Callithrix jacchus: one gene and its partner. The protein of the gene in region 1 binds, or shares a complex with, the protein of each later gene. Links are inferred from orthologs where the notes say so. Each region holds a gene or a part of one and is shown on either strand. Other genes may lie near its edges. The genes, in order: TIMM10B and TIMM10.

What was found.
Region 2: the proteins of TIMM10B (region 1) and TIMM10 are in contact, whole or in part, in a cryo-EM structure (PDB 7CGP), measured with the Homo sapiens proteins. The link is inferred for Callithrix jacchus from reciprocal best matches to the Homo sapiens genes TIMM10B and TIMM10. Residues at the interface, in NP_036324.1 of Homo sapiens: Gln7, Leu11, Leu14, Arg15, Phe17, Leu18, Leu19, Tyr21, Asn22, Arg23, Met24, Thr25, Glu26, Cys28, Phe29, Val33, Pro34, Ser35, Leu36, His37, His38, Arg39, Leu41, Glu46, Leu49, His50, Ala53, Gly54, Ile57, His61; in NP_036588.1 of Homo sapiens: Ala6, Leu9, Leu13, Glu16, Met17, Asp20, Met21, Arg24, Ala28, Lys32, Cys50, Asp52, Arg53, Cys54, Ser56, Lys57, Tyr58, Asp60, Ile61, His62, Glu63, Arg64, Met65, Gly66, Lys68, Leu69, Leu72, Asp76.

The regions. Positions count from the first base shown.
Region 1 is NC_133511.1:72,163,637-72,179,090, reverse strand, and holds TIMM10B (mitochondrial import inner membrane translocase subunit Tim10 B), read right to left. Parts: upstream 9,032-15,454; 5' UTR 8,995-9,031; coding exon of another isoform or gene 8,956-8,994; 5' UTR 8,826-8,955; coding exon 8,682-8,825; intron 8,487-8,681; coding exon 8,310-8,486; 3' UTR 5,754-8,309; downstream 1-5,753. Other genes in the region: ARFIP2 (arfaptin-2), read left to right, coding at 10,102-10,200, 10,451-10,547, 11,262-11,380, 11,561-11,941, 12,315-12,472, 12,621-12,795, 13,257-13,412. UniProt on the Homo sapiens protein: Component of the TIM22 complex, a complex that mediates the import and insertion of multi-pass transmembrane proteins into the mitochondrial inner membrane.
Region 2 is NC_133511.1:115,091,372-115,107,134, reverse strand, and holds TIMM10 (mitochondrial import inner membrane translocase subunit Tim10), read left to right. Parts: upstream 1-6,018; 5' UTR 6,019-6,052; exon of another isoform or gene 6,053-6,113; intron 6,114-6,207; exon of another isoform or gene 6,208-6,431; intron 6,432-6,540; 5' UTR 6,541-6,585; coding exon 6,586-6,656; intron 6,657-8,162; coding exon 8,163-8,364; 3' UTR 8,365-8,607; downstream 8,608-15,763.

The DNA of each region.
Region 1 (15,454 bases):
AGATGAATGTGGGGCATAGCCAGAAAAGGAAAAGCAGAGTCTTTATTACAAGTAACTAAGCTAATTTGTAACTATTCAAAAGGAGTCTAGACTCAAGACAAAAAGCTGTTAGGAAGCACTCTGTTGAGCCTCTGCACCTGCACTGGAGCTGAAGGGATTCCTTTTTTAAAAATTAAATTAAAAAAAAGGTTAAGTGTAACAACAACAACAAAAGCTGTTATAGGAGACTGCTGCTGCCATCTGTAGAAGAGCTGATAAAAGTTTAAAGGGCCAGGCTCTGTGGCTCATGCCTGTTATCTCAGCATTTTGGGAGGCTGAGGCAGGTGGATAACCAGAGGTCAGGAGTTTGAGACCAGCCTGACCAACATGGTGAAACCCCATCTCTATGAAAAATACAAAAATTAGCCAGGCATGGTGGTGGGCACCTGTAATGCCAGCTACTCAGGTGGCTGAGGCAGAAGAATTGCTTGAACCTGGGAGGTGAAGGTTGCAGTGAGCTGAAATAGTGCCATTGTACTCCAGCCTGGGCAACGGAGTGAGACTCCATCTCAAAAAAAATAAAATAGCTGATGAAAGTTTGATTAAGGTAGTAACAATAAAGATGGAGAGAAGGAAAAGGGTTCAAGAGATATTTAAGCAGAACTATAGGACTTAGAAATTAGGTGGAAACTAGAATGGCAGTGATTTGCTCCAATAGGGCCTTTCGGATGTTGACCGATCTGTGACTATTAAGGGTAGAAGATACCACCTAGTGAGATTGTGAGTGAAAAACGTCTTTAAATCATTGGCAAAAGGTCAAAGTTTAGATGTGCAGGTTCACTTCTGTCTCTTCTGATAATAGGCCTTTCTCTTAGTTATGTAAATAATAAATTGAGCTGGGAGAGTCAAAGATGCTCATTCAACAAGTATTTGTTGAGAACACATTATATGCCAAGTACTGTGATAAGGATACAATGGTGAGCAATACAGACCTGGACTCTGACTTCATGAGGTGTATAAAAGCACTACACACCGGCTGCTTGCTCCGCTCCATGCCTCATCAATGAATCCCCCATCACAGCTGCCGCCAACCCTACCACCACTGGCTCTGAGCAGAAGATGGCTGTGCCACCCAAGTATGCCAATCTTGGCAAACCTGCCAGGAATGTCTTCACCAAGGGCTATGCATATGGCTTAATAAAACTTGATCTGAAAACAAACTGAGAATGCATTTGTAAGCTTAGGCTCAGCCAACATGGAAACCACCAAAGTGACAGGCAGTCTGGAGACCAAGTACAGATAAACTCAGTATGGCCTGATGTTTATGAAGTGAAACATACAACACACTAGGACTGAGATTACTGTGGAAGATTAGCTTGCAAGTGGTCTGAAGCTGACCCTTCATTCATCCTTGTCACCTAATACTGGGGGGAAAATGCTAAAATCAAGTCCAGGTACAAGCAGGAGCACATCAACCTAGGCTGTACCTGGATTTTGACATTGCTGGGCCTTCAATCTGGGGCACCCAGGTGCTGGGTTACAGGGTTGGCTGGCTACCAGGTAAATTTTGAGACTGCAAAATCCTGAATGACCTAGAGCAACTTTGCAATTGGCTACAAGTCTGATGAATTCCAGTTTCACAATAATGTGAACAATGGGACAGTTTGGTGGCTCCATTTAACAGAAGGTGAATAAGAAGGTGAAGACCACTGTCAATTTCACCTGGACAGCAGGAAACAGTAACACTGATATGGTTTGGCTGTGTCCCCACCAAAATCTAATTTTGAATTATAGCTCCCATAATTCCCATGTGTTGGGGAGGGACCTGGTGGCAGATAATTGAATCACAAAGGCAGTTTCCCTTGTACTGTTCTCGTGGTAGTGAATGTCTCATGAGATCTGATGGTTTTATAAGGGAAAACTCCTTTCACTTGGCTCTCATTTTCTCTCTTGCCTGCCACCATGTAAGATGTGCCTTTTGCCTTCCACCATAATGATGAGGCCTCTCCAGCCATGTGGAACTGTGAATCCATTAAACCTTTTCCTTTATAAATGACCTAGTCTCAGATATATCTTTATCAGCAGTGTGAAAACAGACTAATACAAACACTCACTTTGGAATATTCAAATATCTGATCAACCCGGACACCTGCTTCTTGGCTAAGTGAACAACTCTAACCCAATAGGTTTAGAATAAACTGAGACCCTAAAGCCAGGTATCAAAATGACACTGTCAACTGTCCTGGATGGCACGAATGACAATGCCAGTGGCCACATGCTAGGTTTGGAACTGCAGTTTTGAGCATAAATACCGTACAATACTTTTACATTATTTTGCAGCAGAGCTACCTTCCGAATTTGTCTCTTTTACTGTATGTCCGGGATGCAAGCATTGCTAAATGTTAGATTTATAGGCTAAAGATGTTAGATTTACAGGCTAAAGATAATTCAGCTTTAAAGTGTTACCCTTTCAGAGGTATAAAAGAAACCCAGTTCCAAAAATGGTCCTTTCAGTTATACACTTGGAAGGGGAATTTGGTGGCCCTTCTAGAGATGCCAGGTTCCTTTTTTATCTAGAAATGACTACAAGTGGAAGCTGATATGTAGGCATTTTGTAAATCATATTGAGTGAATGAAATTGTGACTTCCTAAGAATCAAACCTTGGTTTCCTAGCCCTAATTAATGAGAGGCTTGTTGCTTGATGTGTGTGCAAACTCACTTGAAAGGGACTCTTTTAGACAGATCTTCATGACCTGTTTCCAACCCAGTTAATCAATACCTCTTTTAAACCAAAGGTCTTCAGGGTGTGGTGACTGTTTCTTTTGCGCCATTTTGGGGTGGAGGGGGTGGATGTGATGAAGCCAGTAATTCAGGATTTAATTCCTTCTCATGCTGTGATTTTGTGCCCCTCCACCAGAGTATGAAATGGCTTCCAGGAGCTCCAGATATAAGCTTGGAGGAAACACATGGTGACAATACTCAGAATCTAAATTGGACTTCTGCTGTATTCTCACCACTGAATTTATTTTTTAGCAGTTTAATGGGTATATTTTAGAGTCTTCTATTTTGTGTGAAATTAGATTCTCCCTTTCAAATGCTGTAATTAACATAATTCAAAGTAAAACTTGAAAAACATACTGAAGAGTGTGATACACCAAAAGCATAAGGGATTATGGGAGCTGGAGTCTCGGGAAGAGTTCTTTGAGGAAATAATAACTAGGATCTCAAGCATGAAAGGTAGATAAAGGGGGAAAGCATTGTAAGCCAGGAAACAGCACATACAAAGGCCTTGAGATGAACTAGTACATGACAAGTTAGAGAAAGTGAAAGAAGGCCAGTGTGGCTAGAGCACAGACAGAGGGAAACAGTGAATTATGACTTGAATCGATTCAGCAAACAGTCCTGGCAGGCCAATGTTTGATAGTTACTGATAAGGCTGGGAATAGGCAGAGGCTGGATCATGCAGGGCATTGCAGGTCATATTTAGAATCTGTTTTTATCGTAAGAATAGGAAGCTATTGCAATGGTTAAGCATTAGTTTGTATTTTATGGCTTAGGAGTGAAGAATAGATTGAAGGGGTACAAAAGTGGGTATAGGAAGCAGCAGCAACTGCAATAATCGTGGTGGGAGATCATGGTAAAGGTGGAGAAAGGTAGTGAGAACCAAGAGATATTTAGAAATGTAAACTGATAAGATTTGGCAATTGAGTGACAGGAGAAAAAGGGAAATGCCTTCGAGCTTCTGCAACTGGATGATGAGTACCAGGCACAGGATAGTTTATTAGGAAACATATTGAGTTTGGGATGTTTTTGAGATACCTAAGTGGAGACGTCAAATAGCTTGGAGGAGATCTGGAAGTCATCAGGAAATAAGTTCAGAGTGGGAATGAAACTGTCCTAGAACAATTAGACTGAGAAGAACAGGACCTAAAGAAAATCTTAGATTTAAAGGCTAGGAGGAGGATGAGCCTGCAAAGGAGGCTAAGAAGCTATGGTCAAAGAGGTAGTAGTAAAACTGTAAAAGTAGAACCAGGCACCAATGGAAGAGTATCAACAATAAGAAGCTAGAAAATTTTACCAAATGCTACTGAGAAGTGAGTAGTGAGGACTGGGAAATAACTACTGGATTCAAGATAGGAAGGTCATCACCAAGGTGACCTTAGAACCATTTCAATAGAATGAGGGTTGCAGAAGTCAAAATGAACTGGTTTGAAGAATGGAAATGGAAAATGACCTGTAGGATGAAGAGGCCCAAACTATCCAACTGTTTTGAGAAGTTTAACTGTAAAGCAGAAAAGATGGAAGGGTAACTGGAAAAGAAATGAGGTACAAAGTGGTTTATGGTTTATTAACAGGGGAGTCTTTAGCATGTTTAAACACTGATAAGAATTCAGTAAAGTGTAAGTCAAAGATCCTCAGAGAAAAGGACTAGGATTCTGAGCACAGGAATAGGCACTGGCCTTAGACAAGAGGTATACTTGCCTTGTTTAGATGAAAGAGAATGATGCATATATGTGGGTAAATAAATTGTGGGATGTTGAGGGAATTACCGATAGCTGCAACTTTCGTCTATGAAGAAAGAGTTACTTGCATAAAGTAAAGATAATGGTGGTGGGGTGGGGGGTAATAACAGATTTAAGAATATGGTTTGAAATGGTAATTGCTGGGATAAGTAAAAATGACTAGAAAAATCTAGTAGGACTATGGGGCTGAGACATTTGAAGCTGATAACCATGGATTTATAGTGGTGTAAATTTGCTCCACAGTAGTTTCCTTGGGTGGCATTTAGCTGTCCAAATGCAGGCACAGACAAGTTTCACTTTATTTAAGGGTTCAAAACAAGAGATGAAAGGCAAGGAAATTCAGCCCATTGTATGCAAATCACTAGTTTAAGCTATCTAGGAATGTAAAGAAGGAAGGAGCTAATGGAAAGAAGCATTGGCTGCAGTGAAATCAGAGACTGCAGAGGGAATAGTTCAATAAACCAAGTGGAAGGAATATGGTCAATAATAAGATGCAAGTATTTTGAAGATCGAGCAGTTTGAGGTCATGACAAATGGCCAAAATATGACAAAGGGAGTGAATGGCTAAGACATAGTGAAAACTATCAGAGATTGGGCCAAAGAACTGAGACAAAACACCAAATAAATTGTCTATGAAAATATTAAAATATCAAGGAGTGGACAGGAAGACCAAGAGCTAGCTATTTATAGTAAAGCAGCAGGAGAGTTGTAGTAAATGAGAGTGGTAGATAAGTAATGAGAGGGTTGTATGCATGACTAGCCTCAAAAGACTGAGAAGTTCTCAAGCCACAATGGCAGGAACACTAAAGTATCTCCAATGTTTATGTTTGTGATAACGGGATAAATAACATGATAAAGCTTTGTCAACATTTATTCTTTAATGTTGTGCTTGGAATATCACCTTGCTCTCATTATGCCAATGGCTATCACTTTATGGCAAGACCTGAGGAATACCAGATTATACGCAAGTCAGAATGGTAGGAATAAGGTTTTTCTCCTACACGTGAACTTATTTATAAACAGGGAAGAACCAGGACAAAAGATTTTGAAATTTTAAGGGATTAACTGATGGGTAAGGTTGAGGGACATTTGTTTTTTCATGCCTAGAGGCAGGTTAAGTACAAATGAGCTCGCAGATAGAAGCTCTCAAAGTCCAAAGAGCAAAGGCTTTAGAGTCAAACAGATCTATGTTCCTAGCTCTTCTTAAGCAGTTACTATCATATGACATGGAAAGACGAGAAGCACAAATATTCACAATGGAAGTTTATTGCAAGGATACACAAAAATGTTGATGTGGAAGAGTCCTCCCACTGGCAGCACAGTATCACAGGTTCCATCCTCCTGTCTTCTGGAAGTTAAGAAGTTCACAACCTGTTTTACTTGCATTTATATTTCCCAAGGACAGAAATTTCATTAAATAGAAAGCAACTCCGTGGGTAAGGTCCTGGTCAGCAACTTTTACCATCCAAACAAACTTTTCTGTTCAAGAGATGGCAGCTAAAGGGGGCAAAAACATGATTGGAACTATTTTTTCTCAATAAGAAACTGTGTATAGAGGGAATAGTTCAGAACAAACTTTTCTGTTCAAGAGATGGCAGCTAAAGGGGGCAAAAACATGATTCGAACTATTTTTTCTCAATAAGAAACTGTATATAGACTGGATATGGTGGCTCAAGCCTATAATTCCAGGACTTTGGAGGCCAAGGTAGGTAGATCACAAGGTCAGGAGATCCAGAGCAGCCCGGCCAATGTGGTGAAACCCGTCTCTAGTAAAAATACAAAAAAATTATCCAGGCATGGTAGCACATGCCTGTAATCCCAGGCTACTTGGAAGGCTGAGGCAGGAGAACTGCTTGAACCCGGGAGGCAGAGGTTGCAGTAAACCAAGATAGCATCACTGTACTCCAGCCTGGGCAACAGAGCAAGACTCCATATCAAAAACAAAAACAAGAACTGTCTATAAAAGGGTCTTCTGGCACATTCTGGATTGTTGCTTGCTCATCTGTTAAGTGAGGCTAATACCTCTTATAGTTGTGTTATAAAGATTAAGATAAAGCATGACATCTACCAAAATCAGAACCTATACAAAGTGGGTGTTCAATAAATACTATCTTAAGAGGCAGCCTGGTGTGCAAAATGAACATGGACTTTAAAGTCAGATCTGCACTTTAATAATGGGCTTGCTACTTGAGAATTTCAATTTTCTGCTCTGTAGATAGGATAGAACATCTGCTTTGTGGGTAGTTGTAAGAAATTTTAAAATTTATTACTGTGGAACCAATGTCTAAGAGCTTCCATTCTTTTAAAAAAAGAAACAGGGTCACTTGATGAGGGTGGGGTATGCAATTAAGGACAGCAGTGAAGGTATAAAATAACTGCCATGGTAATTAAAGAAGGAAATGGACCAGAAACCCATAAAGGTAAAGGACTGCGTGTAGATGTGAGGACTTGGCTGAGGGTGGAGGCCTTGAATATTTAGTGGCATTCATTACACAACTGTTTTACTCTAGTAGTTTGGAGGAACAGAAAAGACAGAATAAGCAGAATGATACAAAAAGATGGCCAATGATGGCAAGAAAATGGGGTGATGGAATGGTATGCTATTAAGGCTGCTGAATACAGAAGTAAATTACACAAAGGTGGGAGGCGGGGGAGGCAATAACGAGAAAAGAATGGAGAGGCTGGAATTAGAAATCACAGAACATACACCATGGGACCAATATGGGGCAGATGATAGAAAGCTGGAATTAGGAAATTCTAGACAAGCAGTGAAACATTAAGGTAGCATGAAGGAATAATGCTAAATAAAACTAAATAAAAATATTTAGTTTTATCCTTTTTATCACAACGACTGCTATCTACTTGTCCCTTTAGCCCTTCAGTTTCTCCCTCGGATTTGGCTGTATTGCAGAATATGTGCCAACTTTCTCCCTTCCTGATTGCCCCTGAAGACAAGCACAGACTTCTTTGTTCAAAGGTTTTACTGCTCATCTTGAGAATACTGTAAATACTAAGGAAGTAACAAGCTGGGGAAATGGCTGAAGTTCCCAGACTTCTTACAGGTTTCATCTCTCTTCTGTGGCCACTAACTTCTCCAGAAGGCAGTACCCAAGAGCCCTGTGGTTTTTTTTTTTTTTGACAGGTTGTACTTAGATAGCTTCTTCTTTCCTAGATCCAGCAGAATTCTAGACATGTAAGACATAGTTCACAAAACAGTTATGAACCAACAAATACTTGGCTCATGATTATGAGCCATTGAAGTCAGTCAGACTTAAGGACAACTAGACAGAGCTCCCATTTCCTGTCATCTGGGCAGGAACCAATTTCCTGTTGTATAAATTGGCCTTCTGGTACATTCTGGATTTTTACTTCCTCATCTGTTAAATAAGGCTAATACCTCTTACTCATAGTTTTGTTGTAAAGATGAACTAAGGTATAGCATGACATAGTACCCATCTTAAAACTGTACACATAGAGCCTGCTTTAACCAGATGCCTACAAATGCTCAGGTTTTCCTTCTACATATAGAAGAAAATTCCTCAGCTGCCAGGGCTGAAGCCAGCGGATATGCACTAAATGACAGAACAAAGGATTGTGCCAATTAAGTCGGCAAAGCTTCCTTGCCCAGAATATAAATCAAACAGAATAAAAAGCGGGTTTATTGGCTCGAGGAAAAGGAGCAAGGACACCCAGCTTTCAGGCAACCTCGAATTCTCTCTGTATAGGATTCACCAACCCCAAGGTCCACTGGGGTCCTTCAATCAGAGAAGTCCGTCCAGGGCCTTCCCTCGTGGGGTTGGGGATGGCTAGCTGCCTGATGGAGAGACCCCAGGCTGTTCAGCAGCAACGCCTGGCACAGCCGAGGCAGCCTCGTAGTCTGCGATGCGGCGCTGTACCAGGGCAGGCATGAGCTGCACGTAAGCGGCCATGAGGCGGTGGTTGGAATGGATCAGCTTCCCAGCACAGCTGTGCAGACAGGCCTCCTAGAAGGAAGACAGGGTTTAAGAGGAGGGTAAAGGTGTCTTTCCTGTCAGGCCCGCCCCCTTCCTTCCCCATGCCCAGCCTAGGGGTGAGGGCCGTGGAAAAGGCCAGGGCCAGAGATAGGGGAAGTGGGGAGAGGAGGGAAGCAGTCTACTGCTAAACTATCTGTAGCGTAACTTCCCTACACAGTGCCCCACCTCCTCAGCGTCCAGAGCTCGGTGGTGCAAGCTGGGCACACAGCGCTGGAAGCAGAGTTCTGTCATCCGATTGTAGACCAACAGGAAGTCACGCAGCTGGGAGAAAAGGGAGACCACACTTCTACTCAAGGTCTCGCCGCCCATAGTTTCCCAGGCCCGCGCACCATAGCCCGATGTTTCCAGCCCTCAAATCCCTGGCTCCATGGGGTTCCCGCGATGTGCGCAGGAATGCGAGCTGAACTTCTGGCCCCGCAACGACTTAGTTCTCACTCACGTTTCTAAGTTGCTGTTGTTGCTGAGGCTGCTGCTCCATCACGCCACCGGCGCATGCCCTACGCCACTTCCGTTTCAGCTTCTCGGTGCCGCCCCGGAAGGAACCTCTCGCCGCTCTGGAGAACTAGCTCGAGCATCGCCCTGCCCGCGGCTGCGACGTCACCTCCGCCCTTATAATCTGCGACGTGGCCGGCTTCTTCTGCCCGGAGAGGACGTCACTTCCGCCGAGTCCCTGACCTGCTGCTAGGATCGCGACTGGAACTGGAGCCCGAGGTCCCCGCGCGGCCCGGGCCTGGCGCCCTGAGGGGAAGAGCGGCCCGGCCCGAGGTGAGAGGGACATGCTTGGGCGACGGGAAGTTGAACGCACAAACCTGTCCAGAGGGCAAGATGCCTCGAGCCCTGGGGAAGGATGAGGACACACCTGATGTCCAGGTGTATGGGGGTGGGGGCGGGGACTCACACACCTGAGAGACATAACTGACTGTGGAAGGGATCACCGCTATCCTGGGAGAGAGGCTTTTACCAGAGACTGGGAACATACATCAACTGATCTAACTAAGGCCTGGTGGGGAGGGCCCGAGGAAGAGGAGGTGCATGAGACAGAGGAGGGGGAGACCCCCTGAAGGAAGGGGGAAGAAACACTAAAGGAGTGTGAAAGGCCAAGCAATGGAGAACAAACCTGAATTGGGCGGGGGGGTGAAGACCGGAGCCCTGGAAAGGCTCAGCATAAGCACGCCTGCATGGAGATAAGTTCTAAGAGAGCGGGCTTTCCCTCTTCACTGTTGTGTTTTAATTGTTAGAAATAGTGCTTGACACATAGGAGGCACCCACTAAATGTCTGCTGAATGACTGAATGAGTATATGAATAATCACCAGAGTCCTGGTGAGACTGGGGACTTGTGAGGAGACACAGTGCTTTGGTGTGCCTATGTACACATGTGCATTTTGGAGGGGAGAAATACATACACCTGAAGAAAGGAATGGTGGCCAAACGCTGGGACACTCAAACCCTGCGACAGCCTTTGAAACCTCAGAAATGACAGGGGGGGCCTCCTTCTTCTAGAGTGCTGGCCGGTGTCCAGAACTTCTGTGTTGGGCTTTGCAGGGTGCTGGGGTGGAGAGTTTTACTCCAATACCTTCCCTAGCCATGACGGACGGGATCCTAGGGAAGGCAGCCACAATGGAGATCCCTATCCACGGGAACGGCGAAGCCAGGCAGCTTCCTGAAGATGATGGGCTGGAGCAGGTGCTTCTGTTTGATTTTTCTAATTGTTTCAATTTAGGAATCCAATTTCTAAGCCCTGGGTTCTCACCCCCGATTCCAGTAGCCTTCCCCTGACTTATCTGACTCCATTCTTTTTACATATCATTCTGATTCTGTGCAGAGTTCCCTTGTATACTGACTTTATGATGCTTGAATCCAAACTTGTTCCCACCTCCAAAATGCTTCTGCTCCACCTATGTTCCTGAAGCAATCCCTCTTCTCTGGCCTATAGGACCTCCAGCAGGTGATGGTGTCAGGACCCAACCTCAATGAAACCAGCATTGTGTCTGGTGGCTATGGGGGCTCTGGTGATGGACTCATCCCCACAGGTATGAATGTTCAGAAACAGGAAGCTTGGGTGGAGGAGGGGACAGGAATGGTTTGGGGAAGCATAGGATATGTCAAGGAAAGCTTAAATTATGTCTAGATATCTTGGGAACTTCTGCTTGTATGAACCCCATGGACTCTCCTCAGCCCAAGAGCAACTCCCAGCATTGTCCATCCACTTCCCTTTTGCTATTTGGCCCCTGAAATGGCTCATTTGTCCTTTCTCTGCCACCACCTGAGCAAAGTTAAGACCTACTTCACAGGAATGCCCTACTCTACAGCTTGAGGCTGAGTTGGAACTTTGTGAGGCTTCTCAGAATTTTATTTTAGATTCTAAAGTTTAGAGGAACAAACAGTCCTGAATCTCACACTAAGATTCCACATGGGAATGCAACCAGGTTTCTTGTTAGCATGATCCACCATCCTTTACTCCTGCTACCCCCAAAGTCGGTGTATTTTCTTCTGTTTCCTCTGCCCCTGTACACCAGCAACTCCCTGCAAACCCCTCCTCCAACCCCTAAGGAAGTCATATATATACCAGGATTTGGTTCTCACCGTGCAAGATTCGAGTTCCTCCTAGTAAGCAGTAGAATCCAGTTGTCTTTAGCATTTCCTTCAGGGAAGTCAATTTCATGTGCTGGGAGAGAAGTATGGGTGGGGCCACAGAGGTGTCATATGTCTAAGAGAGGCTGGTGTCAGAGAACTTGATCCTTTAGGGTCTGGCCGCCATCCATCTCACAGCACCACTCCTGCTGGCCCTGGAGATGAGGTGGCTCGGGGCATCGCTGGAGAGAAGTTTGACATTGTCAAGAAATGGGGCATCAACACCTATAAGGTAGAATTTAAGCACCTCTCCCTTCCCCAAAACTCCTTATGGGTACCTTTTTTCCCTTTTTCTCATGATCATAAATACCTCATCTGTGGCTGAGAGTAGGAGCCTGGGGGTGCTGGGATAGATATTGTTGTGTGGGGAGGCTATTAGGGTCTCTGACCTATTCCCCCATTTCCCAATCAGTGCACAAAGCAACTATTATCAGAACGATTTGGTCGAGGCTCACGGACTGTGGACCTGGAGCTAGAGCTACAGATTGAGTTGCTGCGTGAGACGAAGCGCAAGTATGAGAGTGTCCTGCAGCTGGGCCGGGCACTAACAGCCCACCTCTACAGCCTGCTGCAGACCCAGCATGCACTGGGTGATGCCTTTGCTGACCTCAGCCAGAAGTCCCCAGAGCTTCAGGTGCCTCAGCCAGACCAAAGAGGGTGGGGGAACTGGGCACGGGCCCTCTCAGGCAGTCATTCCTCATCCTCCCTCCCTCCTGCAGCCCACAGGGAGAACCCCTTCAGGGTGGGCCCAGCCCTACCCCCAGCAGCACTCACCTGTGGAGGCAGCCTAAGGGTTTGTACAGAGATCCAGAAGTTGGAGGGGGTGGGGGAGGGGGCACACTAGGTGCCTCACAAATAACCCCTCTCTGCATTGGGGAGAATGCCTTCAGTGCTCACCTAATCAGAGCCCCTCCCCTGCCTGGCACACTAGCTCTCAGACTGTTCCAGTCTTGTGAACTTATCCAAGAATGCCCACCACCCACATTCCTACCCCAGGTATCCCCAGGGTGACCCCACTAACTTTCTGGCTAACAGAGCCTTGCTGGAGGCAGTCCTTGGTTGTTCCAGTTTTGCTGGCTATTTCCTCCCTGGGGAGGAGGGGAATGAAGGACTCTACAGCTCCAGTCTAGTAGAGAGTGTTATTCAAGGCCTGTTCCTTTCCTCAGGAGGAATTTGGCTACAATGCAGAGACACAGAAACTGCTATGCAAGAATGGGGAAACGCTGCTAGGAGCCGTGAACTTCTTTGTCTCTAGCATCAACACATTGGTCACCAAGACCATGGAAGACACGCTCATGACTGTGAAACAGTATGAGGCTGCCAGGTGTGGGCACTGGCAGGGCTTGGGGTTTGGGGAGTTGGCTGGCATGGAAGGAAATTTGGGCATTAGGGGCATAAGAATTCAGGAAGGAAAGGAGAGTATGTGTTGAAGACAAAGGGGTGGAGACCAGCCTGTATCACCCCCTCCCCAGGCTGGAATATGATGCCTACCGAACAGACTTAGAGGAGCTGAGCCTAGGCCCCCGGGATGCAGGGACACGTGGTCGACTCGAGAGTGCCCAGGCCACTTTCCAGGCCCATCGGGACAAGTATGAGAAGCTGCGGGGAGATGTGGCCATCAAGCTCAAGTTCCTGGAAGAAAACAAGGTGCCAACCCCACCCTCCTTGACCCTAGCCCACCTTTCCATCTGTGACACTAACCTTCCCCTCAGACCCTCCCCATATTGAATGGGGAAGTGCAGCCTAGCTAGGGAGTAGAATGTTACCCCCTCAGCTCCCTCTCAACCCCTGGGCCTTTCCACATCACCCTCCCTCCAGTTCCTGGCCCTTTCCTATTGGAGGATTTGGCTCCTGGTCCCAGGAACATTACTGGGAAAAATCACCCCCTTAGCTGGGGTACCAAAACCCTAGGCCCAACAGATCAAGTGAGGTTTCTTCCATCAGACTGACCCTTCTTCTTTGACTCCCTGGGGTAGAGTTCAGCCCTTACCCCAAAAGCACCATCAGAGCAGAGTCCTTGTGCCCCTGGTCTGTGCCTGGGCTCAGGCTCATAGACCCTCAAGAAGGGCGCCTGAGTCCAGCCTTAGCTGACCCTGCTGGACCCCCAGATCAAGGTGATGCACAAGCAGCTGCTGCTCTTCCACAATGCCGTGTCCGCCTACTTTGCTGGGAACCAGAAACAGCTGGAGCAGACCCTGCAGCAGTTCAACATCAAGCTGCGGCCTCCAGGAGCTGAGAAACCCTCCTGGCTAGAGGAGCAGTGAGCTGCTCCCAGCCCAACTTGGCTATCAAGAAGGACATTGGGAAGGGCAGCCCTAGGGTGTGTGGGAGATTGGACATGGGACTTCCCTTGTCACTTGCCCTCTAGCTTGGGCTCCTTTTTCTGGCTGGGGCCTGACACCAGTTTTGCCCACATTGCTATGGTGGGAAGAGGGCCTGCAGGCCCAGAAGCTGCTGCCCTTTCTGGCCACAGGGCTTCATTCCCAGATCTCTTCCTTCCACTCCACAGCCAATGGCTATGACAAAACCACTCCCTGGCCAATGGCATCACTCCTCAGGCTGGGGTGTGCCTCCTGACCAATGACAGAGCCTCAAAATGCCCTGTCAGCCAATGGCAGCTCTTCTTGGGCTCCCCTGGGCCAATGATGTTGCATCCAATACCCTTTGTCTCTCCTCTATGCCCATTGCAGAGAAGGGGACTGGGACCAAAGGGGTGGGGATAATGGGGAGCCCCATTGCTGGCCTTGCATCTGAATAGGCCTACCCTCACCCACCCACCCAGTTTAATTGTGCTTAGAGCCCAAGAAGATTGGGATCTAGCACTAGGAATAAACCTTTCATAAAAGCAGGCCCAGCGAGGTCAATTTGTGGGGGGGCTTTAGGAGGGTGGCCTGGGTGGAGACATGCCCAGTCTAATCATACACCAGAACCCTCTCAAGTTAAAAGAGCTGGGGCCAGGTAGCTGAAGTCCTAGATTTCAGAGATGGTCTGAAGGTGCAGTCTTCTCTCCCAGCCCCAGTTGGAACCAAAGCTTTATTTGTCCTTTAGCTGGCACCAAGATAGCTATGGATCTTAAGAGCATCAACTCCAGAGGGGGTTGGATTTGCTGACCTTCATCATGCATTCATTCATACAGCAAATATTTACTGAGTGCTTTTATTTGCCAGGCACTTCGTTAGACCCTGGGGAAACATCAGTGAATAAAACAGTCGCTGCGCACAGTGCTTAGGGCCTAGTGGGGGAAAAAAAGTAACCAGGCAACTACAATACAGTGATAAGTACTAGGATACAGAAGTACAGGGCGCAATGGAAGCAGGCATCTGGCATAGACTGGGGTGGAAATGGGGATGTCAGTTTGAAAGCTGAGACCTGAAGGGTGAGTAGATGACAACCAGGCAGGGTAAAGGGAAGAGCATCCCGTCCCAAGCAGAGAGGCCAACATATAATGAAAACTCTGAGTAGGAACTAGGAGGAATTGTTTGGAATGAAAAATGAAGAGGGAGTGGCTAGATCAAGACTGCAGGTGGTTAAGGACTTTAGCCTTCTGGAGGAGCTGTGAAACGTTTTAAGCAGAAATTTGACTGCATGGGAGAAGTATAGGGTTGAGAAAAGTAGTCCTCTGAAGCGTCAGATAGTGTCCTATCGACTCCAGTCCCCTCATCTTGGGTAGTAGCCCTAGCCCAAAACTCCAAGCATCATCTCCATCTGGGGTTCCTTCACAAGCACTGGAGTACCCTGTGCTATGTGCTGAACTCAGGTGGATAAGAGGTTGAGGCAGTTCCTGCTCCTGCTGCGCCCAGGTGTTGAGCCTAAATCTGAACCTTGTGTGAGAGATCACAAGAAAGCTTCCTAACAGCACTTTGGTTTAGTCAGGGCTCAGATGTCATCACCTGTATGCCCTTTAGCCAAGGAAAACTCCAGAATTTTTCAGGATTCTCCCCCTCTGGAAGGCTGGAGCAAGGGGACAGCCCATTCAGCAGATTCCCATAGCACTGGGTACCTCACAGGCCTGTCTTTGCCGTTTGTCATGGTTACTGCAGCTCCCAGGCAGTTTTCTGGGCTTTGGTCAGCCTGCAGTCATCTGACTAGAGCTTGACTTTTGGGACAAGGAAGGTGGTCCTCATATGAGCTGCCACTTAATGGGCCACTGGGGATTTTTCAACACGAAAGTTACTGAGTCTCCAAATGCTGGTGGTAGGGCCTAAAAACAGGGCTCAACTCCAGGTTCTGCCACTTTCTAGCTGAGTGATCAGGGCTGACATCTGGGGAGCCAGATCCCTGTTTCTTCCATTGTAAAACGGCTAAT
Region 2 (15,763 bases), about 43 Mb from region 1:
ACCCACGTGTAGCATGACCCTGGCCTCCGCTGCTCATCCAGAGCCCAGGCGAGGCCTCCCGGGTTCCTTCACACTCACACCGCCAGGTTCCTTACATAGGCCCTTTCCCTCGTCCTGAGACAAAAGCAGCTGCTTAAGGCTGGGCTAAGGAGGGGCTGAATGGGGCAGCTGCCGACACAGGGATGTGTCTCAGGGCTCACAATGGACGGAGAGATTTGGAGGAGGAGGGGCAGAGAGGGCAAAAGTGATGGGGCAAGCTGACGGGTCACTAGATGGAGTCTGGAAAACACAAAACTCCTGAGTTCTATTCTGAGCTGAAGTGGCAGGTACACAGTAGGCCCTGAACACATTTTTATACTGAACTGACATTTTGCAAAGAAAATACAAAACAAGCCCGGGCGCAATGGCTCGTGCCTATAATCCTAGCACTTTGGGAGTCCGAGGTGGGTGGATGACTTGAGGCCAGGAGTTCGAGACCAGCCTGGCCAACACAGTGAAACCCTGTCTCTCCTAAAAATATAAAAATTAGCTGGGAGTGGTGGCACACACCTGTAATCCCAGCTACTCAGGAGGCTGAGGCAGAAGAATCACTTGAACCCGGATGGAGGAGGTCACGGTGAGCTGAGATTGTGCCAGTGTACTCCAGCCAGGGCAACAGAACAAGACTCCTTCTCAATAAACAAAACAAATCAAAACAAAAAACCAGGCCTTCACTTTCTGTGTGTTTTATGATCTAAGAAAGCCACTGCTTTTGGAGATTGGGTACAGGGGATACTCTTACTACTACGAAGCTTGGGACCCCCCAATCCTCCTCCCCGACTCCCCACCACTAGGCCACACTGGCCTCCTTTCTATTCCTTAAATAAATCTATCCCTTTTCAGACTCAGGACTAGTTTTTCCTTCTACTCTGCAAGACTGGCTCCCTCTCATTCTTCTGGACTCAGCTCAAATTTCATTCCCTCAAGAGGTCTCCCATGACCTTCAATTCCTCTCCATCATTTCAGCTGTTTTTATTGTTCTCATCATACTAAATCTAAAATTACTTTATTCTTTTCCTTATAACCTGTCTGGCTCATATTAGGTGCTTGATCAATACATACTGATGTATTGATCAGTACATTAATTAGTTCAACACATAATGAACTAATTAATTAACAGACATATGTGACAGGATGGCCGGGTGCGGTGGCTCACACCTGTAATCCCAGCACTTTGGGAGGCCAAGGAGGGTGGATCACAAGGTCAGGAGTTCAAGACCAGCCTGGTCAAGATAGTGAAACCCCATCTCTACTAAAAATACAAAAATTAGCCAGGCATGCTGGCGGGTTCCTGTAATCCCAGCTACTCAGGAGGCTGAGGTAGAGAATCTCTTGAACTCAGGAGGTGGAGGTTGCAGTGAGCGGAGATCAAGCTACCGCACTCCAGCCTGGGCAACAGAGCAAGACTTCGTCTCAAAAAAAAAAAAGAAAGAAAAGAAAAGTATGTGATAGGAACTTGGAGGCCTTGTGTGGGATGATCTAAAAGAGAGATCTTTTTGTGCATCCAGGTTTGGGTACTAGTGATCGAACAGTCCAATATTAATGGTTGCTGGCTGCTTCTAGTAATACTCAAAATCCGGCTGGGATTATAGGCATGAACCACCATGCCTGGCCTATTTTTCTTTTCAATATCTAATGACAGCAGGGCAAGATAAATGAATTTAAACAAAAAAGAGCCCAGCAAGCCAGAGAGAGATGTGGAAGAACTCGCCAATCTGGGGCAGGTGCACTGTGGATGGGTGCTGTTTTGAGAGTAAAGTGAAGGGGAAGCATGGAGAGAACTGGGGAGAGCAGCCAGGAGACAAACTCAGTGGCCCTGGTGCACGACGGTGGTGGCTTGGACCAGTGTCAGCCGTGGAAGTGAGAAGAAGTGGTGGGAAGCAATGAGAGTGCAGACAGTGAAACAGGGAAACTGCAGGCAGTGATAAAGCCAGGGCCAGCTTTTTCTTCAAGTGAATAGGATGACGTAAGCCATTCCATCACAAGGGAGGTCACAGGAAGCCTCTGTTTTTGTATTCTCTGCACCTCTCATGAGTGGTCAGGGCCAACTTGAAGTGAATCTAGGTGAAAACTCTGCATCTCTTCTTCTGGGGCTGGGTCCCATCTGAGAGGGCAATACGGACCCAAGATGAATGAAAAATATACAACTCACCTTTGTGAAATTGGGAAGAGGTAGAATTCAGGGTAGACGGAGGAGCCGGAGTTGCAGCATGGTGTTGAGAGATCCGCAGTTTTGGATGACATATCTGGAGGTCTAAGGATATCTTCAAAGTCTAAGGCTAAGTTGTCTTCTACAAGAAGGAGGTCAGGCCAGGTGCACTGGCTCACGTCTGTGATCCCAGCACTTTGGGAGGCTGAGGCGGACAGATCACCTGAGGTCGGGAGTTCGAGACCAGCCTGACCAACATGGAGAAACCCTGTCTCTACTAAAAATACAAAATTAGCTGGGTGTGGTGGCGCATGCCTGTAATCCCAGCTACTTGGAAGGCTGAGGCAGAAGATCGCTTGATGTTCTTTAGGGAAAACTGAGGAAATACAGTAAAAAAAAAAAAAAAAGAAAGAAGATCGCTTGAACCTGGGAGGCAGAGGTTGCGGCGAGCTGAGATCACATCACTGCTCTCCAGCCTGGGCAATAAGAGCAAAACTCCATCTCAAGAAAAAATAAAACAAAAAGCAGCAACTCACTGGGACCATGAGAGATTCCTACCTGTAGGTCCCCACATAGAGGAAAGACACAATCGCATAGTAAATAACTATAAAAATAACAATAGCATTACCATCAGTAAGACAATGGTTGTCCAGAGGCTGAACAGTTGGGGAAATGGGGAGTTGCTCTTCAATGGGTATAAAATTTCAGTTACACAAGATGAATGAGTTCTAGAGATCTGTGTACAAAATGGTACATATAGTTAAAAATACTGTATTATGCACTTAAACATTTGTTGGCCGTGCACTGAGGCTCACGCCTGTAACCCCAGCACTTTGGGAGACCGAGGCAGGTAGATCATAAGGTCAGGAGATTGAGACCATCCTGGCTAACATGGTGAAGCCCCGTCTCTACTAAAAATACAAAAATTAGCTGGGCATGGTGGTGTGCGCCTGTAGTCCCACCTACTCAGGAGGCTGAGGCAAGAGAATCTCTTGAATCCAGAAGGAAGAGGTTGCAGTGAGCCGAGACTGTGCCACTACACTCCAGCCTGGCGAGAGAGTGAGACTCCGTCTCAAAATAGAAGTGTTAGGCAGGGCCCAGTGTGGTGATGCCTGTAATGCCAGTGCTTTGGGAGACCAAGGCAGGAGGATTGCTTGAGGCCAGGAGCTTGAAACGAGCCTGGACAACATAGCAAGATCCTGTTTCCACAAAAAAATTTAAAAACCAGACAGGCATGGTGGCTTGTGCCCGTAGCCCTAGCTATTCAGGAGGCTGAGATGGGAGGATTGCTTGAGCCCAGGAGTTTAAGGTAACGGTGAGCTATGACTAGGCCTCTGCACTCCAGCCTGAGTGACAGAGTGAGACCCTGTCTCAATAAATAAATAAATAAATAAAAAGGATTTCTCTGTTAGAAATAAAAATGGACGAAGAAAATATGGACAAAGGTTAACAATTGCTAAGTTCTGGTGATGAATATATGGAAGCTCAATGTCCTGTTCTCTCTGCTTTTCCATATGTCTTAAATATTCCAGCTTGGCATGGAATGACTCATGCCTATAATCCCAACACTTTGGGAAGCCGAGACAGGAGTATTGTTTGAGCCCAGGAGTTTGAGACCAGCCTGGGAAACATAATGTTGACTGTATTTTCTTTTTTTTATTCTTTTCTTTTCTTTTTTTTTTTTGAGTCAGAGTTTCACTCTTGCTGCCCAGGCTGGAGTGCAGTGGCGTGATGTTGGCTCACTGCAACCTCTGTCTCCCAGGTTCAAGCGATTCTACTGCCTTAGCCTCCTGAGTAGCTGAGATTAAAGGTGCCCGCCATCATACCTGACTAATTTTTTTTTTATTTTTAGTAGAGATGGGGTATCACCATGTTGGCCAGGCTGGTCTTGAACTCCTGACCTCAGATGATCCACCCGCCTCAGCCTCCCAAAGTGCTGGGATTACACTTGTGAGCCACCGCACCTGGCCAATGTTTACTATATTTTCAAAAGCAAAACCCAAGGCAAGATACGTCTATCTGTACAAGAGTATGACAGCAGCATTTTTGCATAATAGGCAAAAACTGGAAACAATCCAAACATCCATCAACAGGAGAATGGATAAACGAATTGTGGCATATTCATACAGTCAAACACTAGACAGCAATAAAACAGAAGAAATAACAGATACACACAACAAAGTGGAAGAAATCTTACAGGTAAATTGAGCTAAAGAACTCAGGCACAGGCCGGTGGGGTGGCTCACACCTGTAATCCCAGCACTTTGGGAAGCTGAGGCGGGTGGATCATGAGGAGGTCAAGAGATCGAGACTATCCTGGCTAACATGGTGAAACCCCGTCTCTACTAAAAATACAAAAGTTAGCTGGGAGTGGTGGCACACCCCTGTCATCCCAGCTACTCAGGAGGCTGAGGCAGGAGAATCGCTTGAACTGGGCAGGTGGGGGTTGCAGTGAGCCGAGATCGTGCCAGTGCACTCCAGCCTGACAACAGTGAGACTCCATCTCAAATAAATAAATAAATAAGAAGTCAGGCACAAAATAGAAAATAATGTATAATTCCATTTACCTTAAGTTCAAGAACAGGGAAAACTAATTGATGGTGATACAGGTCAGAATAGTGGTTAACTTCGAGAGGGAGTATTGATGGGGAAGGAACACTAGATAACTTTTTGGGGTACAGGAAGCATATCCTGATCTGTGTGGTGGTTATATGAATGTATATATATATATAAGCTTTAGAGTTGTGTATTTTATGCACTTCATGAATGTTATACCTCAATCTTAAAAAATCGGGGCACAAGGTTTGACAAAGATGAGTCTTCAGAGCAGTAGGAAGGTCAGCTGTTTAAAATCAGGATGGTCCTGGACAATTAGAGAAGCATGTGACGACCATACATATAAAATGTCTAGCCCACCTTTTCCAATGGGCAATGTACCCTTGAGTCATTAATTTACATCTTGTAAATTTATTTTACTAGGAAATTGTGTGACAAATCAAGGGACTGAGTGTTGTTTCCTTCTTTTTAGTGGGCAATGAGCGAATGGTGCAGTTTGAGGAATACATTAAGTCTTGAAAGATGAGAAGTTCACCAGTACCCTCCTTCTGCCTCACCCAAGATTAGTCCTGGTGGCAGCCTAAATTGCGTTTATTAATCTTTTTATGGCTCAGGGCCTCTCACTGTTGAAGAAAACGTATTTCACACGTCTCCTCTTTCTGTAAGCAGGAACCGTATCTCGCTTATCTTTGCAACCCAGACAGTGTTAGTGTGATCTACACACAGCAGTAATCGCACAACGTCCTATGGAGCACTGCTTCTCAAATTTGGCTGTACAAACGAATCACCTGGGGAATTTTAAATTGTACTGATACCTGGGTCCTACTCGCAGAGATTCTGATTTAATTGAAATGAGGCGAGTCGTGGGCACTGGGATTTTTAAAAGCGTTCCAGGTGATTTTAACGCGAAACAAAAACTGAGAACCGCTGTTGGGGGTGTTCTTCCGTCTCCACGCCTGATTTGTGGCTGTCCCGGACGGGGGTGAGGTTCACTGATATCTGTCGCCACACCTCTTCCTACAGAACCAATAAACTGAAAACTCTCGGTGACAACCTGAGACTTGAATTCTGATCGGGCCGCAGGCGCTCTGCACCCAGCCCAAGCCTCTATGGTACTTTGGCGTCCCCTCTAGCACTGGCAAATCGCCTTCCTCTTCGCCCGGCGCCGCTCGCTCCCTTTGTAAGATCGCCGAGTTCCCGGAGCCGTCTCGTTGGTATTTCATTCCGGAAGCGAGTTTGGAGCCAAGAAGAGGCGGGACTTCTCTCCCGGAAGTAATCCACGTGCTTCCGCTGGAGCCTTCTTGGGAGGCAGGTAACGTTATAGTATTTGTAAGGTCTCCGTGGGCATTGTGATCCGTCCCAGGTAGTGGTGAGTGATCCGTGACTTCTGAATTCAATGTGTCCCTGATTATGGCGTCACCATTTCAGAAGTGCATCCTTTGGGCCGGGTCCCGGTCTCCTCTGTTCAGCGTATGATCTCATTCCCAGGGCCCTGGAGGTTCAGGCCTGGGTTAGAGCGTTCTGAACCGGTCCTCGATCTTCTGAATAGAGATGACCTCTAGGGACTTGGGTATCAGAGATCCAGGGCTCGATTTCCAGGCTCGCCGTGAATGTCCCGTGCGACCTTGGACTAGGCCTCAGTTTCCACATCCGTGAAATGGGGTTAAGCTAGGTTAAGCTCACTGAGGTTAGTGGCCCCTGGTGGTCTGGCGCCCTGTGAGTCTTTTGGATCCTCTAGCCCCGGGGTAGGAGAGTGAACGACGGCAGTGGGTGATGACGGTGGTGTCTCCTCCCAGGATTAGGAGGCCAGAAGGAGATCCCTTCCAGGGTGCTAGGCCAAGATGGATCCGCTCAGGGCCCAACAGCTGGCCGCAGAGCTGGAGGTGGAGATGATGGCCGATATGTACAACAGGTAAAGAGAACCATGTGCTACACTGTCTTGGAAAATAAGCCTTGGCCACCCTTTTCGAAGGTGAATGACTTATAACAAATTTCATCCTGAATGTAGGGGAGCGAGAGACCCATGCTTACTCTCACCATACCCACCTTCAAGGTTGATTCTAATGCAGATGCAGTAAAGGGTCACTAGAATATTTAGATGGGGATAGAACTGGAGATGCGGGAGCCAAGCAGGAAGAGAAACTCCAATTCAGGCTCTGGTTAGGTTCCAAGAAAAGCTGAAAAGCTGAGTATTTGCTTTTTGGCAAATAGCACATAGCCAGCCCATTTAGTAGTTAACATTTTAAAGCCCTTGGCCGAGGCAGTGGCTCATGCCCGTAATTCCAGCACTTTGGGAGGCCGAGGTGGGCAGATCACGAGGTCAGAAGTTCCAGATGTCTGGCCAACATGGCACAATCCCATCTCTACTAAAAATACAAAAATTATCCGGGCATGGTGGCAGGCACCTGTATTCCCAGCTACTAGGGAGACTGAGGCAGGAGAATCACTTGCACCCAGAAGACGGAGGTTGTGGTGAGCTGAGATTGTGCCACTGCACTCCAGCCTGGACAGCAAGAGCAAAACTCCATCTCAAAAAAACAAAAAACAAAACCCTTTATTCTGTGTCAGTCACTTGTTAATCTTCAAAATAATCCAGTGGGTTAATTTTATTAGTCCCATCTTAAAATGAGGAAATTGATGCTTCTAGAAGTTAAGTAACTTCCTCAGAGTCCGCAGTTGGTCAGTAACAACACCAGAACTAGCACCTCAGTCTGATTCTGCAACTAGTGCTCATAATCATTTGGCAAATTTGGGAACAAATCCCGGCTCCACCAATCACCAGCAGTGTTCTTGGACGTGTTACTTGCACTGTTTGACAATTGGTTTCCTCATTATGAAAAAGACATAATGATACCTACCTCATAGGGTATTATATATATTACATTTAAAAATTTCTGAAAGCCCTTAGCCTCAAGTCCAACACTTAGCAACAGTGAAATATCTGCTATTTTTATTGACTTAACCTCTCTTGATTGGTTGGTTTACCCTGAAGGCTATAAATTAGGAAGGATTTTTAAGTGTAGGAAGTGAGGCCAGATGATCTGTGTTCATATTTTAGCTCTATGTGATTCTTAGAAAATTACCGAGCCTCTCTTGGCTTAATTTCCTCATCTGTAAAATGGGGATAAGTATCTCTTAGGGTGATTGTAAGGATTGCATAACAGAATGCATGTAAAGCACTTAGCATGATGCCTGGCACATAGCCAGTTTAACAAATGCTTTCTGCTTAATTAGTCATATACAGGGGCTCAGACAAGTGTCCTGCTTGCAAGGAGCTTCCAGTGGTTGAGGTGGAAACTGAGGATTTATAGTGCTTTCTTGGGGAAGGTGAAATCAATATAGCAGGGCTGGGATGGTCGAGGGTTCCTGGGATGTCACAGGATGCTGCTGACATGACCTTGCCCCTCCCTCCCTCCAGAATGACCAGTGCCTGCCACCGGAAGTGTGTGCCTCCTCACTACAAGGAAGCAGAGCTGTCCAAGGGCGAGTCTGTGTGCCTGGACCGATGTGTGTCTAAGTACCTGGACATCCATGAGCGGATGGGCAAAAAGTTGACAGAGTTGTCTATGCAGGATGAAGAGCTGATGAAGAGGGTGCAGCAGAGCTCTGGGCCCGCGTGAGGTCTCAGTCAGTATATACCCTGGGCTATATCCCACCCCTCCCCACTCGAATAAAAGTGCCCTCTGTTGGGTGTCATCTGTGAAGACTGCCAGGCCTAGGCTCTCGGTAGAGTCTTCAAGATCCCAGAGTGGTAGTGCTTTCTCCTGGTGAAGGAGTATTTGTCACACTGGAATGTGACTGTGTGTGAATGTATGTGTGTGTGTATATATATATATATATATTAAAACAACTTTGTTGACACCTACTATGTGCAAAGCAGTGTGCTTGGCATTTGAGAGTAAACAGAGAAAACCTCACAAGCAGAGAGGAGACTAATGTAGTATTTTAAGAGTAAGACAGTCCGGCATGGTTGCTCACTCTGTAATCAGCACTTTGGGAGGCTTGGGGCGTGGGTGATCACTTGAGGTCAGGAGTTCAAGACCAGCCTGGCTAACATGGCAAAACCCCATCTCTGCTGAAATACAAAAATTACCTGGGTGTAGTGGCATGTGCCTGTAATCCCAGCTACTTAGGAGGCTGAGGCAGGAAAATTGTCTGAACCTCAGAGGTAGAGGTTGCCTGAGTCGAGATTGTGCCACTGTACTCTCCAACCTGGGGGACAGAGCAAGACTCTGTCTCCAAAAAAAAAAAACAAAAAACCAAAACAAAACAGGAAGACAGCTTCAGTTTGCCTGCTTTCTGCTGTTTTTTATGTGGCCCTGAACCTGTCATTTTTGCCTGCTTTCGCTTCTTCATCTGTAAAACGGTTAGTCAAACATGGTTAGCCCTTTGACTATCCCTGTTTTACAGATGAGGAAGCTGAGGATTTAAGAAGCATGTTGCTTGCTTGAGTTCACACAAGCAGAGCAATAATATGGAGGCCAGACCCGACTGCTACTGCGTTTGCTGTCTCACCGAGGAGCATCTTCAGAGGACTGAGCAGTTTTCAGAATGTGTAGGTCTCCAGATGGGACTGTGGTTGACATCAATGCCACTGTGACAGTAGTACCTTCAAAGTTGGCCTTCCTGGCGAAAGTGTCTGGGATGTAACTAGGTCATTGACATAAAGGAGATAGAATAGAGGCAGTGAGTTTGGGGCTTGTGAGTGCAGGTTCAAGCCAGACTATGTAACTTTGAGTTTCTACTGAAATTTTCTGGTAGTGTGATCTTGGGTGAGGCATTTTAACTGCCCTGTGCCTCAATTACCCCATCGTAAAATGGCAGTAAGGTTACCTACCTCTTAGGAAGTTGCAAAAATTAAACGTGTTAACAACCAAAGCACTTAGGAGAGTGCCTAGCATACATTCAGTATGCAGTAACATTAGCTTTTTTTTCATTGCTAAGTTTGGTGGGAGGTGAAGATGACAGATGTAGTGGAAAACTTCAAAGCCGTTGCTCCTCTTAGGGGTAGAGAGCAATAAAGCTCTTTCTAGGTACTGAAGTGCAGCTTTTGGTCAACAGGTGGCGCTGTCTGCTCATGGTCAGCGCTGCTGCGGACAATTTCATACGTTTTATCATTTGCCTATTCTTGGAAGAGAGGACCGGTGAAGAAAATCGATATTATGTATGCCCTCAGGTTTAGCAAAAAACATCAAGAATTTGTTTAGAAAAAAAAAATCCCTGGAACATCTAGCAGGGATGGTAGAAGGGATGAGAGGTTCCAGCTGGAGGCAATGGCACTTGCAAAGGTTTTGTTGAAGTGGCTTTAAGTGTGGAGGTGGAGCCTTCCAGAAAGGAGAGCTTCAGCTTCAGTGTGGCTGGAGTGCTGAGTGTGAAGAGAAGTGAAGAGGCTTGGAGGCTGGGCAGACTTAGCTCCAGAAGAGCTTGGTGAGCTGTGTTAAGGAGTTTGGACTTTCTCCTACTGAGGGCAACAGCAAACTATTGAAGAGTTTTAATCGTTCGGTGACAATGACAAGTTTGCATTTTGGTGGCTCACTCGAGCTGCCAGCCAGGTAGACGGGGGTAGAAGAAGGTAGATAAGGGACTAAAGGGTGATGAGGCAGGAAGCCAGAGAGCAGAGAAGGGGGATGATGTGAGTGAAAGTTGATAATTTATTGAGTTGCTATTGTGTGCTCAACTCCGTGCTAAATTCTTCACATGTATTATTTCAGATAATTCTTCTAACAACTTTAAGACAGCTATGATTGTTCCCAGGTGAAGAGGCTGAGGTTCTCAAAAGCTAGTAAGTTGCCTAAAGTCGTGTAGCCTGCAAGTGGTGGAGCCAGAATTCTAACTTAGACACCAGAGGCCACTTTTAACCACTTCTCTAGGACTGGGGGGAATGGTCCTTAGTGAGAGATGTGTCAAGTTTCATATTTCACTCAACAGTATTTATTACTGGCCTGCTACGTGCAAAGAGCTCTGGAAAGTGCTCAAAGTGAATTAGTTAGATCCCTACCCTCCATGAGCAAGCAGGGTGGGGGTGCAGTGGACAGCAAGAGGGCTGGAACACACATAAAAGGGTATAAGAAATAACAATTAGGCTGACCGGGTGTGGTGGTTACACCTTTAATCCCAGCCCTTTGGGAGGTCGAGGTGGTTGGACAACTTGAGGCCAGGACTTTGAGACCAGCCTGGCCAACATGGTAAAACCCCATCTCTACTAAAAATACAAAAATTGGGCTGGGTGTGGTGGCTCATGTCTGTAATCCCAGCACTTTGGGAGACTGAAGTGGGTGGATCACTTGAGGTCAGGAGTTTGAGACCAGCCTGGCCAACATGGTAAAACTCCATCTCTATTAAAAACACAAAAATTAGCTGGGCCTGTAATCCCAGCTACTCAGGAGGCTGAGACAGGAGAATCACTTGAACCTGGGAGGCAGAGGTTGCAGTGAACCGAGATCTTGTCATTGCACTCTAGCCTGGGGAACAAGAGTGAAACTCCATATTAAAAAAAAAAAAAATAGCTGGGCTGGTGGTGCACACCTGTAATCCCAACTACTCGGGAGGCTGAGGTATAAGAATCACTTGAACCCGGGAGGCTGAGGTTACAGTGAACTGAGATTGCACCACTGCACTCCAGCCTGGGAGACAGAGAGACACTGTCAAACAAAATAAAATGAAGTAGGTACTTTCTGCCATAGGGAGGAGTCATAAACTGCTAGCCCTCAGGTGTATTTTTGCTTATCAGTTTTAAAAATCAAAAAATGTCTCAAAAAATTAGGAAGTTGGCTTCTTTTGAAATTTTGGGCTGGGAGCCGTGGCTTATACCTTTAATCCCAGCACTTTGGGAGGCTGAGGCGGGTGGATTACCTGAGGTCAGAGTTTGAGACCAGCCTGACCAACATGGTGAAACCCCATCTCTACTAAAAATACAAAAATTAGCCAGACATGGTGGTGTGTACCTTAATCCCAGCTACTTCGGAGGTTGAGGCAGGAGAATTGCTTGAACCCCGGAGGCGGAGGTTGCAATGAGCAGAGATCGCACCACTGCACTCCAGCCTGGTTGACAAGAGCAAAACTCCATCTCAGAAACAAAAAAAAAGAAAAAGAAAATTTGGAAGATCTGACAACAGTTGACATGCATTCCTGCCTGGCGTCAGCCTGATGGAAGATGGGCAGAGGCTCAATTGTCTGCCAAACTTCCCACCACTGGTGTCTTCCCTCCCTGTCATCATCTGCTTGACCTGTAGGCATTTGGTTTGTGCCTTCTGCTCTGGGTGCCCAGATGAACTGGATGCTCTATGAGAAAACATGCTGTAAATGTTTTGTGGTAGGCAGCCTGGAAGATCACTGGAGCCTCCAGTGATCCCTTCTTCCTGGTATTCATGCCTGTGTATAATCCTCTCCCTTGAGTGTGTACTAGACCTAGAGACTTGCTTCTCATAAACAGAACACAGCAAGGGTAGTGGGATGCTACTTCTAAGGTTAAATTACAAAAGAGTATAATGTCTGTCTTGGGGGTTTCCCTCTCTTGATCTTGCTCTCATTCTCTCTCTCCCTCTCTCACTGTCTTGTTCTTCCCTCCTGTTTACCCTGATGAAGCAAGCTAGCAAGCATCCATGTTGTGAGCTGACCTCTCAAGAGGCCCACGTGGTGGTAAGGAACTGAGGGAAGCCTCCAGACAGCGAGGAACTGAAGCACTCACCACATGAGTGAGCTTGGAGGCAGAGCCTTCCCCACTTGAGCTTTCAGATGACTGCAACCCTGGCCAATGCTTTGCAGGCTTGTAAGAGACCCTGAGACAGAACACACAGTTAAGCTGCACCCTATCTCCTGACCTAGACAAACTGCGATAATACATGTAGTTTTAAGCCACTATATTTTGGGATAATTTGTTACTCAGTAACAGATAACCAACTCTTGCAGTTGTCTAAGATTATATTTAGTCATTTTACACGTACACCAAGAATATGCCAGGCACGGTTTTAGACCCTTGGAATACATCAATTAACAGCACAAGTAACGAGGCCAGGCACAATGCTCACATCTGTAATCCCAGCACTTTGGGAGTCCGAGGTGGGAGGACAGCTTAAGCCCAGGCGTTTGAGAACAGCCTGAGCAAAATAGTGAGACACCATCTCTACTAAAAAAAAATTAGGCCGGGCACGGTGGCTCAAGCCTGTAATCCCAGCACTTTGGGAGGCCGAGGCGGGTGGATCACGAGGTCAAGAGATCGAGACCATCCTGGTCAACATGGTGAAACCCCATCTCTACTAAAGATACAAAAAATTAGCTGGGCATGGTGGCGCGTGCCTGTAATCCCAGCTACTCAGGAGGCTGAGGCAGAAGAATTGCCTGAATCCAGGAGGCGGAGGTTGCGGTGAGCCGAGATCGCGCCATTGCACTCCAGCCTGGGTAACAAGAGTGAAACTCAGTCTCAAAAAAAAAAAAAAAAATTAGCTGGGCATAGTGGCATATGCCTGTGGTGCCAGCTATTCAGGAGGCTGAGGTGGGAAGATTGCTTGAGCCCAGGAGTTTGAAGCTGCAGTGAGCTATGTTCACAAAACCGCCCTCTAGCCTGGGCAACAGAACAAGACCCTGTCTCAAAAAAAAAAGAAGAAAAAATAGGTAAAGATCCTTGATACTTGCCCTCTGGGAACTTGTGTTCCAGAGGGGGACGGTTTTCCATAGCGGAAGTCTGTGTTAGCAGTGCTATTTGAAGCTCCTTCAGTATCTGGGGAAAAGGTTCTTCTTTCAGTTCTTAGACCTCTCTGAAAATCTGACAAATGTCACAGCCCGTTTCCTGAATGCACATAGAATTTTGCTTGCAATTTTAGAGATTTTCATAAGCGCTCCTGTGGGCTGACCTAAGAGGAGTCTTTTGACAAACATTGTTTTAGGTGCTGGGGCAAAGATAGAAAATCTAAACCAGTTGTGGCCAGGCACAGTGGCTCATGCCTGTAATCCCAGCACTTAAGGAGGCTGAGGCAGGAGGATTGATTGAGGCCAAGAGTTTGAGGTCAGCCTGGGTCACATAGTGAGATGCTCATCTCTACCCACCCCCCAAAAAAGAGCTGTTCAGCAGGGTGCATGAAGGAATGTATCCCATAGTCTTAGTGCTCAGGGAAGCACCTCCCACAAAGTAATAGGTGAGTGAGATTTGAAGGATGGGTAGGAATTTGTCAGGCAGGAAGCATGGTGGGTGGTGGGTTCTGTGTTAGGTGGTGAGAGGATAGTGGTGAGGAAGGTGGGCACAGGCCCCTGCCCTCTGAACTGTCAGAGGAACAAATATATGATGAGTTTTCTCAAAGGGAAAGCCAGATGTTATATAGGTTACATTGCAAAAGGATTCATTGCTGGAGTCAGGCAAATTATTGCAAGAGGTCAGGCAATTATAGGAAATGACCGTTAAGATCTGAAGGGCTGCCTGAGCACAGTGGCTCACGCTTGTAATCTTAACACTTTGGGAGGCCAAGAAGGGTGGTCATTTGAGGTCAGGAGTTCAAGACCAGCCTGGCCAACATGGTGAAAACCCACCTCTACTAAAAATACAAAAATTAGCTGGGCCTGGTGCCTGTAGTCCCAGCTACTTGGGACGGTGAGGCAGGAGAATTGCTTGAACCCGGGAGGTGGAGGTTGCAATGAACTGAGATTCGCCACTGGACTCTAGCCTGGGCTGCAGAGTGAGACTCTGTCTCAAAAAAAAAAAAAAAAAAGATTTGAAGTGGCAGTTGGCTACGCTAGTGCAGGGAATGTTCCAGGCCCAGGAAGAACTTGAGGTAGGAGAGAGCATGGAGTATTAGTGGGTGTGAAGGAGGTCACCATGGCAACAACACAGAGGGCAGAGGGGCTAAAAGGAGGGCTGACAGCAGAGGGCAGGCCCGGATGGCACAGGACTCAGGGGCCATCATTGGGAGTTTGTGCATTTCCCCAAGGATCACGGGAAGGCTTTCAAGGGAAGTGGCCTGATCAAAACTGCATCTCGAGTAGTCCATTCTGATGGGCTGGTGGGGTCATGTGGGGGGATAGGATTGGGAAGACCAGGTTGGAAGGGTTGCAGGAGTCCAGGCCTGAGTAGCTGGAGATGAGAAGTCTTTATATGGTAGAAAACACAAGCTTGCTGGTAGGCTGAATGTGGAGAGTGAGGTGGGGAGAAAGCCTGGGGTGACTTGAGCTGTGTGTCTTAAGCCACTGGGTGGAGGAAGGTGGTCCTTTTATGATACAGGGAACAATGGAGGCAGGGCAAGTTAGGGAGGGGAGGTCAGTTTCAGTCACTTGAGTTTTTTTGAGAGGGAGTTTCACTCTTGTTGCCCAGGCCAGAGTGCAATGGCATGCTCTCGGCTCACTGCAATCTCCACTTCCTGGGTTCAAGTGATTCTCCTGCCTCAGCCTCACGAGTAGCTGGGATTACAGGCATGTGCCACCATGCCCAGCTAAATTTACATTTTTAGTAGAGATGGGGTTTCTCCATGTTGGTCAGGCTGGTCTCGAACTCCCGACCTCAGGTGATCCGCCTGCCTTGGCCTCCCAAAGTGCTGGGATTACAGGCGTGAGCCACTGCGCCCGGCCTATTGCATACTCTGTATTGTCTCAGAAGATCCAATGTAATCAGCCTGTTATCTTTTCAGCAGCAACCTCACACCACAGGCCCCTCATCCTACATGCATTGTTCACACCGGCCCTCATTCAGCTCTCAGATTGTCTCCACATCCTCCTGTTAAAAGATTTTTTTCGTTCGCTGTTTCCTTCTCTCAAGGGCTGATAAATTCTATTGATTCTGACATGGAACACTCTTAGCACAAGCGTCACCCTGAAAGATTCTTCCTTGACCTCCAGTCTAGATGAAATTGCCTTCTTTAAGCATACGTTCTCATAGCACCATGTCTCTTGTCCGTGATCCTTTCTGTAGATGAGGTAACACTTAATTCATCTGTGACTCTCTCCTGCTGGACTGTGTTGTCTGAGGATAGGGTCTGTGTCTTATTCACCATTGAATCCCTAATGCCCGACACATGCAAAGGTTGTTTGTTTGTTTGT